Macaca mulatta: one gene and its partner. The main gene of each other region encodes a partner of the protein of the gene in region 2 in a complex. Links are inferred from orthologs where the notes say so. Each region holds a gene or a part of one and is shown on either strand. Other genes may lie near its edges. The genes, in order: CIRBP and TNPO3.

Evidence for each region.
Region 1: the proteins of TNPO3 (region 2) and CIRBP are in contact, whole or in part, in a crystal structure (PDB 8CMK), measured with the Homo sapiens proteins. The link is inferred for Macaca mulatta from reciprocal best matches to the Homo sapiens genes TNPO3 and CIRBP. Residues at the interface, in NP_036602.1 of Homo sapiens: Arg620, Glu660, Arg661, Cys663, Arg664, Arg667, Phe668, Arg671, Ser698, Cys699, Tyr702, Ser705, Ile706, Asp709, Glu710, Asp747, Asp750, Asp751, Arg754, Arg758; in NP_001271.1 of Homo sapiens: Tyr160, Arg161, Ser163, Tyr164, Asp165, Ser166, Tyr167, Ala168.

Annotation. Positions count from the first base shown.
Region 1 is NC_133424.1:1,940,173-1,944,525, reverse strand, and holds the start of CIRBP (cold-inducible RNA-binding protein), read right to left. Parts: upstream 2,953-4,353; 5' UTR 2,893-2,952; intron 999-2,892; 5' UTR 993-998; coding exon 890-992; intron 787-889; coding exon 680-786; intron 597-679; coding exon 458-596; intron 377-457; coding exon 295-376; intron 1-294. UniProt on the Homo sapiens protein: Cold-inducible mRNA binding protein that plays a protective role in the genotoxic stress response by stabilizing transcripts of genes involved in cell survival. Acts as a translational activator.
Region 2 is NC_133408.1:168,632,834-168,636,638, forward strand, and holds part of TNPO3 (transportin-3), read right to left. Parts: intron 1,988-3,805; coding exon 1,841-1,987; intron 263-1,840; exon of another isoform or gene 1-262. UniProt on the Homo sapiens protein: Importin, which transports target proteins into the nucleus. Specifically mediates the nuclear import of splicing factor serine/arginine (SR) proteins, such as RBM4, SFRS1 and SFRS2, by recognizing phosphorylated SR domains.

The DNA of each region.
Region 1 (4,353 bases), on a different chromosome or scaffold from region 2:
TGCTCTGCCACAGCAGGCTGAGCCGTCAGCCCCCATGCCAGCTGTCCCTTCTGGGGACGCAAGGACCCCAGCAGGGTAGAGTCTCAGAAATCGTCCAAAACCTGCACCAGCCATGCCCCCCTGGCCTTCCCGCTTCTGCCACTGTCTTCAGCAGTTTCTTCTCCTCTTGGCCTGGGCCCCCTCCCGCCTCTGCTCCTTGGCCAGCCAGCCTCATCTCAGCTCCCCCAGGGACCTGGGACTGAAGCTGGCCATCCCACCATCACCCCTGTGCCCGGGTTGGTCTTCACCCCTCACCTGCTATAGTAGTCTCTGGAGCCACCGTAGCCCCCACTCCTGGACTCGAACCGGTTCCCCCCATAGCCTCGGTCCCCTCCTCCTGCATACAGGAAGAAGTGAGTACCAGCTCCCACCAGCAGTGCCTCACAGCATCCCCAAAGGGCCAACTCACGGCACTCACCTCTAGAGAACCCACGGCCCCGTCCTCGGCCCCCACGGAAGAAGCCCCGGCCCCCGGCAGAGCCACCACGGTACCCACGGGATCGGTTGTCTGACGACTTGCCTGCCTGGTCTACTCGGATCTGTCGCCCATCTACAGACTGGAGACCAGCGGATGGCACAGGTTAGTGGGTGGGTGCCCCATCCTCAGGATGGGGCTCCCGCTCAACACCCTGATCCTCACCTTCCCGTTCATGGCCATCATGGCATCCTTGGCGTCGTCAATGTTCTCAAAGGTGACAAACCCAAATCCCCGAGATCTCTGGGTCTCCCTGTCTTTCACAACCACCACTGTGCAGGGGAGAGAGGTCTGCAGTCAGCACCCAGCTGTACCTACAGTCAGGAGGAGCACAAGCCAGCCCCACCCGGGCCGCCGGCCCAGCACCAGCCTCACCTTCAGAGATCTGTCCGTATTTTGAGAAGACCTGCTCCAGTGACTGCTCATTGGTGTCAAAACTCAGCCCTCCAACAAAAAGCTTGCCTTCGTCTGATGCCATGGCGGCCTGTGGCAGACACCAATGAAATCCTCAACAGGGGTCATCTCTCACCACCTCTCCCCGCTTCCTATTTTATGTAAATGACATGTGTTTTTTAGGGGAAATATTAGAAAATCAGGTTATTGTTTTTCATTGTCGGAAACTCGTACCTAGGACTTAAGCTGTCACCCAGGCTGGAGTGCAGTGGTGCAATCATGGGTCACTGCAGCCTCCACCTCCTAGTCTAAGCAATTCTCCTACCTCAGTCTCCCAAGAAACTGGGACTATAGATGTGCACCACCACGCCTGGCTAATTTTTTCTTTTTAATTTGTTTTAGTAGAGATGGGGTCTCGCTCTGTTGCCCAGGCTGGTCTGAAACTCCTGGGCTCGGCTGGGTGCAGTGGCTCACACCTGTAATCCCAGCACTTTGGGAGGCCGAGACGGGCCGATCACCTGAGGTCGGGAGTTCGAGACCAGCCTGACCAACATGAAGAAACCCCATCTCCACTAAAAACACAAAGTAAGCCAGACACGGTGGTGCATGCCTGTAATCCCAGCTACTCGGGAGGCTGAGGCAGGAGAATCACTTGAATCCGGGAGGCGGAGGTTGCGGTAAGCCGGGATCACGCCATTGCACTCCAGCCTGAGCAACAAGACTGGATGGAACTCTTGTCTCAAAAAAAAAAAAAAAAAAAAAAAAAAAACTCACTCCTGGGCTCAAGCAATCCTCCCACCTTGGCCACCCAGAGTTTTGGGATTACAGGTATAACCCACCGCACTCAGCTACCTAAGACTTAATTCAAACTGATTTACCACACTGAATACAGTCCGCTTCTCAGCTCCCTCCACCCCCCAGACTAAAAGCAGGCCGCACCCATGTCCACGGTCCTCCCCATGGGACAGGGCCTCCGGTGTCTCCCCCTCTAGCCCCGAATCTTCCAGTCGTGCCGTGGGCAGGACTGCACCCTCAGCTTCTCTCCCCTTTACGAACTGGTGCCAACTCCAACCCTAACCAGTTGACTTCTACTTGTTGCTGGACCAGAACGTGCTTCTGTTCACTGTAAAATTCCCCGAGACTGGGGGGGGGCTGGCTGTCAGGGAGGCCGCCCCGTGCTGGGGGGCACCTCGGGGCAGGCACTAACTTTTACAGACAGGACCTCTGCCGGGAATCGGGAAGCGATGGCCCCGGAAATGATGAGGCAGGATTTCCAGACAGGAGAAATGGCATTCAGGAGAACTGGCTATTTAAGGGCGCAGTCAGTGCTGACACAGACAAAGCATTCATTGGCTGGGAATGGCCACCACCCAGTGGCGCTGATAACTAGACTTGGAAGTCTGGCACTGGGGGCTGTGCCAACTTGGACCAAAGTTTGGGCGCAAAGCACGACGTGGCAGACGAGGAATCACACTGGAACGGGCCATGCCTACCCAGGATTTGCGAGGCCGTCCTTTCCCTCATGCAATCACAATGGGAAAAGGAGAAAAATGAGGCTCAGAAAACAAAAGCTTTGGTTTATGGATACCTCCAGCCCCATGGCAGGGAAACCGGCCCTGGAGACCGGGCGCGCCACGTGGCCCCGCCCCCGCCGCGTGCGCATGCGCCCCGTGCGCGCCCTGCGCCACTCCATCCGGGCACTCGGTGCTCCCGCCATTTCGCTGGGCACAGCCTCGAGCTGGCGGCCGCCATTTTGCGGCGGCAAGCCGGTCGCTGGCGGCCCGGGCCGGCGGGGAGAGGCCCTCTGGCCGCTACTCGGCCCAATCTCCCGCTGCCCCTCGCCGCCGGCGGGGCGGACTCCACCCCGGGCCCGCCCCGGCACCGCCCCCTCCCAGGGGCGTGCCGCTGCGGCCCCGCCTCGCCTGGCCGCCGCAGGCCGCCCGCCGCCCCGAGTTCCTCGGAGCCGGTGCCGCCAGGGCCCTCACCACTGAGTCGGGTAGGTCCCTGACGCAAGCGGGAAGACAGCACACCACAACGACCCGAGCCTCCTAACGCGCGAGTGAGGGGGGGCGCCCCGGCGCCCGGCATTATATACACCGCCGCCGGGCCCCGCCCCCTGCACCTCCCGGACCAATCAGAGGCCGCTCCTGCGTCTCATATTCATGAGCTGGGGGCCGGGTCTATCTCGGCTCCGCCTCCTCCCACGCGCTGGTGTCGGGCTAGACGATTGGCCGGGACGTTTCCAGTCCGCAGTCCCCTGCCCGCGCTCGGGGGGGCGTGGCCAGCGCGCGGCGGGGCGGGGCTGACCCAGTTCCGCGTGCCCTCTCCCTGGCCCGCGGCGGGCAACAAATGGGCCTCTAGCCCCGGTTCCGAGGCCTCCGGCCTCATGGGGACCTCTGGGTGTCACTAGGACCCCGACTTTGCCTGTGCTCCAGCAGTCCCGACATAACCTAGCCCAGATCCCCTACCCAACCAAGCCCCGGCTGTCAGACATCCCAACTTCATCTGAACCCCGATACCTGTCGTGATATTCTTGCCACTACAACCGACGTCCCAGTTTTCCCAGCACCCCAGCACTCCATTCCTGCCATCAACCCCATGCCCACCCAAACCCCAACAAAGACAACCCCATTCATGCGAACCCCAACATTCGCAATCCCAGTTGTTCCTACTTCGCCACACTTTGGTGCACCCCAACTTTACGCAATCCAGTTTGCCTACAAACTCCAACCCGCACCTAAGCCTAACTCCCACTGGAACCGCGACTTCACGGCTGGGTGCATCGCCCACACCCCCACACTCGCCTGGCCAGATAGTGTTGTGCGTCCCTGCTGTCGGGTGCAGGCGAACACCCCGAGTCCCCACTGCACCCCAGCACTCAGCCCGGCCCTCGGCCTCCCCTCCCACCGTGCTGCACACCCAATGCGCACTCGCTCCCCACGCCGGGCCGGGCCCACTCTGCTCCTCTACCCAGGCCTTTTCTCTCCTTCCACAGACCTCCCCTACTGAGCCTGGCTGACAGAGGGAAGTCTCAAAGCCTCCGCCATCTGGAGAACCAGCTATGCAAGGACCCTCACTCCCTACTCTTCGTTGGCCCCAAAGCCTCTGGGGAGCCCTCTATGGCCACCACTTGCTCCTCACCCAGGCCTCATCTCATGCTGCCCCCTCCCCCGGCCCTGGTGGAAGAAACCAGCGTGGACCCCTGCCTCTCTGCCCCAGAAAGTCTCAGGAGGGCTGACCCTCTGCTCACAAGCTGGGGGGAGTTGGGGTACAGAGACCCCCGTTTTGCGGCTCACCTCAGGGAAATCCCGGTCCCACTCCTGGCCTCAGACTCACTCCCACCCTCAAGTGGATCGAAGTGGGGGTAGCCAAGGGCGCTGTCTCCAGTGACAAGGTCTCTGGGACCCCTCATGGGCTCAAGACCCCTCCCCCCGACAGCAGCTGTG
Region 2 (3,805 bases):
TCAGATGAGATAATGGCTAACATTATAAAGCACTATACAAATTATAAAGCACTATACACTTACAAATGTAAGAAATTACCCACAAGGGAAATGGTGCCACAGATTCAGCGAAGGCAAAAAAGGGATTAAGCACAAAGCCATTTAAACAAAAGGGGCCCTGCTTTATAAATCAGGCTTCCAAATAAAATGTAGCTGAAGACAGGAGTCGTCACTTTATTTTATTTTTTTTGAGACTGAGTCTGGCTCTATTGCCCAGGCTGGAGTGCAGTAGCACAATCTTGGCTCACTGCAACCTCCACCTCCTGGGATCAAGTGATTCTCCTGCCTCAGTCTCCTGTGTAGCTGGGATTACAGGCACCCGGCACCATGCCCGGCTAATTTTTCTATTTTTAGTAGAGAAAGGGTTTTGCCATGTTGGCCAGGCTGGTCTCAAACTCCTGACCTCAAGTGATCCACCCACCTCGGCCTCCGAGTGGTGGGTGCAGTCTGAAAACCACTAGACTAGATCATGACTAAGGTTGTGTGGAGATACAAAATACCATGACTCAAACAAAATACTAACATTAAAATTAAGAGAATAGCACGTGGGATTTAATTGTAAGCAATAAAACTTACTGCAGGTCCTAAATTAAAGGACGGATTCAACCAACCAACAGGATGAAATAAATGTGGCAAAATTTGAAGAGATTAAGCATGATGTTTGAAGAGTTTTCTAATAAACTAATAATATTTCTAGTATTTTTTTCTAAACAAATAGATTTCTATATTCTTTTAAACTATAAAATGAGTATAAATAAGATTTTTAAAATGTGTATGTTCGTGGGGCAAAATCATACACACAAATATTTCACTTTTGTATTAGTTTTCATCTAACCACTTACTTTCTACTATTAATAAGAGTCAAAATTTTGGTTGGGCGTGGTGGCTCACGCCTGTAATCCCAGCACTTTGGGAGGCCATGGTGGGTGGATCACAAGGTCAGGAGATTGAGACCACCCTGGCTAACATGGTGAAACTCCGTCTCTACTAAATATACAAAAAATTAGCCGGGCGTGGTGGCGGGCACCTATAGTCCCAGCTACTCAAGAGGCTGAGACAGGAGAATGGCGTGAACCTGGGAGGTAGAGTTTGCAGTGAGCCGAGATGGCGCCACTGTACTCCAGCCTGGGCGACAGAGCAAGACTCCCTCTCAAAAAAAAAAGAGTACAAAATTTTACATTCTGATTTTTCTCTTACCATACCATCATTTCACTACCTTTTAATTGCTCCATCAAGTTGCTAAATCATAACTCTTCTTATATAGTTCATATAACTCTTATTATACTGCTGTATATGGGTTTATAATTTTTACTTTTATAGATAACATTTTGTATATAAAATAGCTGTTTTTTCTTCTGCAGATTTAAGATAAATTCCTAGGAAAAGAATTACTGGTTTAGCTGGAGTGTTTTTTGTTTGTTTGTTTTTGTTTTTTCCTAAACAGGCCTAACAGATTATACTGGTACTGACTTCTTCAGTATAAGCTGTAGAGTGACAAAACCTGCCAATCCTCCCACCTCAGCCTCCTGAGTAGCTAGGACTACAGGCGTGTGCCACTAGGCCCAGCTAATTTTTTTTTTATTTCTTTTTGTAGAGACAGGGGTCTCTCTATGTTGCCCGGGCTGGTCTTGAACTCCTGGCCTCTAGCAATCCATCCACCTTGGCCTCCCAAAGTGCTGGGACTACAGACATGAGCCAGGGTACCCAGCCAGGTTTATTATCTATCTTCTCAGTTCCTTTTCAAGTTGGCACTGACAAGAGGAAGAAATTAAGATTTGAAGAGGTAGAGAAGGGAACTTACATGGTCTGGTTCCAGCTGGCAGTGTCGAGCCAAGGCATGAAGCAGCCTCTGAATGTAAGCTTTGAAGATGCCATGAATAACTTCATCATTAGTTTTGTACAAATGCTCCCCGAGTCGGTACCAAAAGTTAAATGAAATTTCTACTACCTGTTAGGTTAACAGAGATGATTTATTTGAATGGGAAAGGAATAGAATAAGAAGACATTTTATTATCACCATGACCATATAGGAAGAAAGATATATTTTTAAATAATATGAGTGGAGTCAGTTAAGAAGTCACCTTTTCTCTAGCAGATTTACTATTTATCTCCCCAAATTGTCTTCCCATGTTAGGCCCAAATCTCCATTTAGAATGACTGGCTTTACATTCCATTTAGTCCTGAGGTAATGCCTCCAAAAGTACACTGAATTTTGAATTTAGAGAAAACGATAACAGACATGGAAGTCTTTATTTTTATTTATTTTTTAGAGACAGAGTTTCATTCTGTTGCCCCAGCTAGAGTGCAGTGGCACAAGCACATCTCACTGCTGCCTCTAACTCCTGGGCTCAAGCGATCCTCTTGCCTCAGCCTCCCAAGTAGCTGGGACTACAGGTACACACCACCAAGCTCAGCTAATTTTTTTTTTTTTTTTTTTTTTAGTAGAAACAGGGTCTCGCCATCTTGCCCAGGATGGTTTTGAATTCCTGCCCTCAAGTAATCCTCCCACCTAGGTCTCCCAAAGTGCTGGGACTACAGGCATGAGCCACCGCTTCCAATTTTATTTTACTTAAAACAAATTTCAGCCAGGTGCAAAACACCATCTCTACAAAAAAATACAAAAATTAGCCAGGCATGTAGGTGGCGCATGCCTGTATTCTCAGCTACTCAGGAGGCTGAGGTTGGAGGATCACCTGGGCCCAGGAGGCTGAGGCTACAGTGAGCTGTGATCGCACCACAGCATTACAGCCTGGGCAACAGAGTGAGACCCTGTCTCAAAAGATATATATTTTTTCTTTAGAGACAGGGTCACCTAGGCTGGAGTGCAGTGGGGCACAATCATAGCTCACTGCAGCCTTGAACTTCTGGGCTCAAGCGATTCTTCCACACAGCCTCCTGAGTAGCTAGGAGGACTACAGGCACTTGCCACCATGTCTGGCTAATTTTAAAAATTTTTCTGCAGAGACAGGGTCTTGCTCTGCCATCTAGGCTGGAGTGCAGTGGTGTAATCATGGCTCATGGCAGCCTCGAACTCCTGGGCTCAAGCGATCCTCCCATTCAGCCTCCTGAGTAGCTGGGATGAGAGGTGTGCGCCAGCACACCCAGCTAATTTTTGAAATTTTCTGTAGAGACAAGGTCTTCCAATGTTGCCCAGGCTGGTCTCGAACTCCTGGGCTCAAGCAATCCTCCCACCTCAGCCGCCAAAAGTGTTAAAGAGGTATGAACCTCATTAGAGGTATGAACCACTATGCCCAGCCAGAAGTCTTTTTTATTCATTTATTTATTTATTTTGAGATGGAGTCTTGCTCCATCGCCCAGGCTGGAGTACAGTGGCGCGATCTTGGCTCACTGCAACCTCCACCTCCTGGGTTCAAGTGATTCTCCTGCCTCAGCCTCCTGAGTAGCTGGATTACAGGCCCGTGCCATCAAATACAAAAAATACAGCTAATTTTTGTATTTTTAGTAGAGACGGGGTTTCACCATGTTGGTCAGGCTGGCCTCAAACTGCTGACCTTATGATCTGCCTGCCTCGGCCTCCCAAGGTGCTGACAGGCGTGAGTCACCGTGCCTGGCCAGAAGTCTTTTTTAAAGTATTTTTCTGAAACTTCTGAAATCACTGCATTGAATGTTTGAGATTCAAAATCATCTGTAACTCCTGAACATAACTGATTCAGCTTCATGTCACTTTTATTCACCTGTTTTCTTGAGTGTGACAGAAAGGGAGAAAAGGCCTGGGATTTTACTCGTAGCCTCTTTTCCATATGGC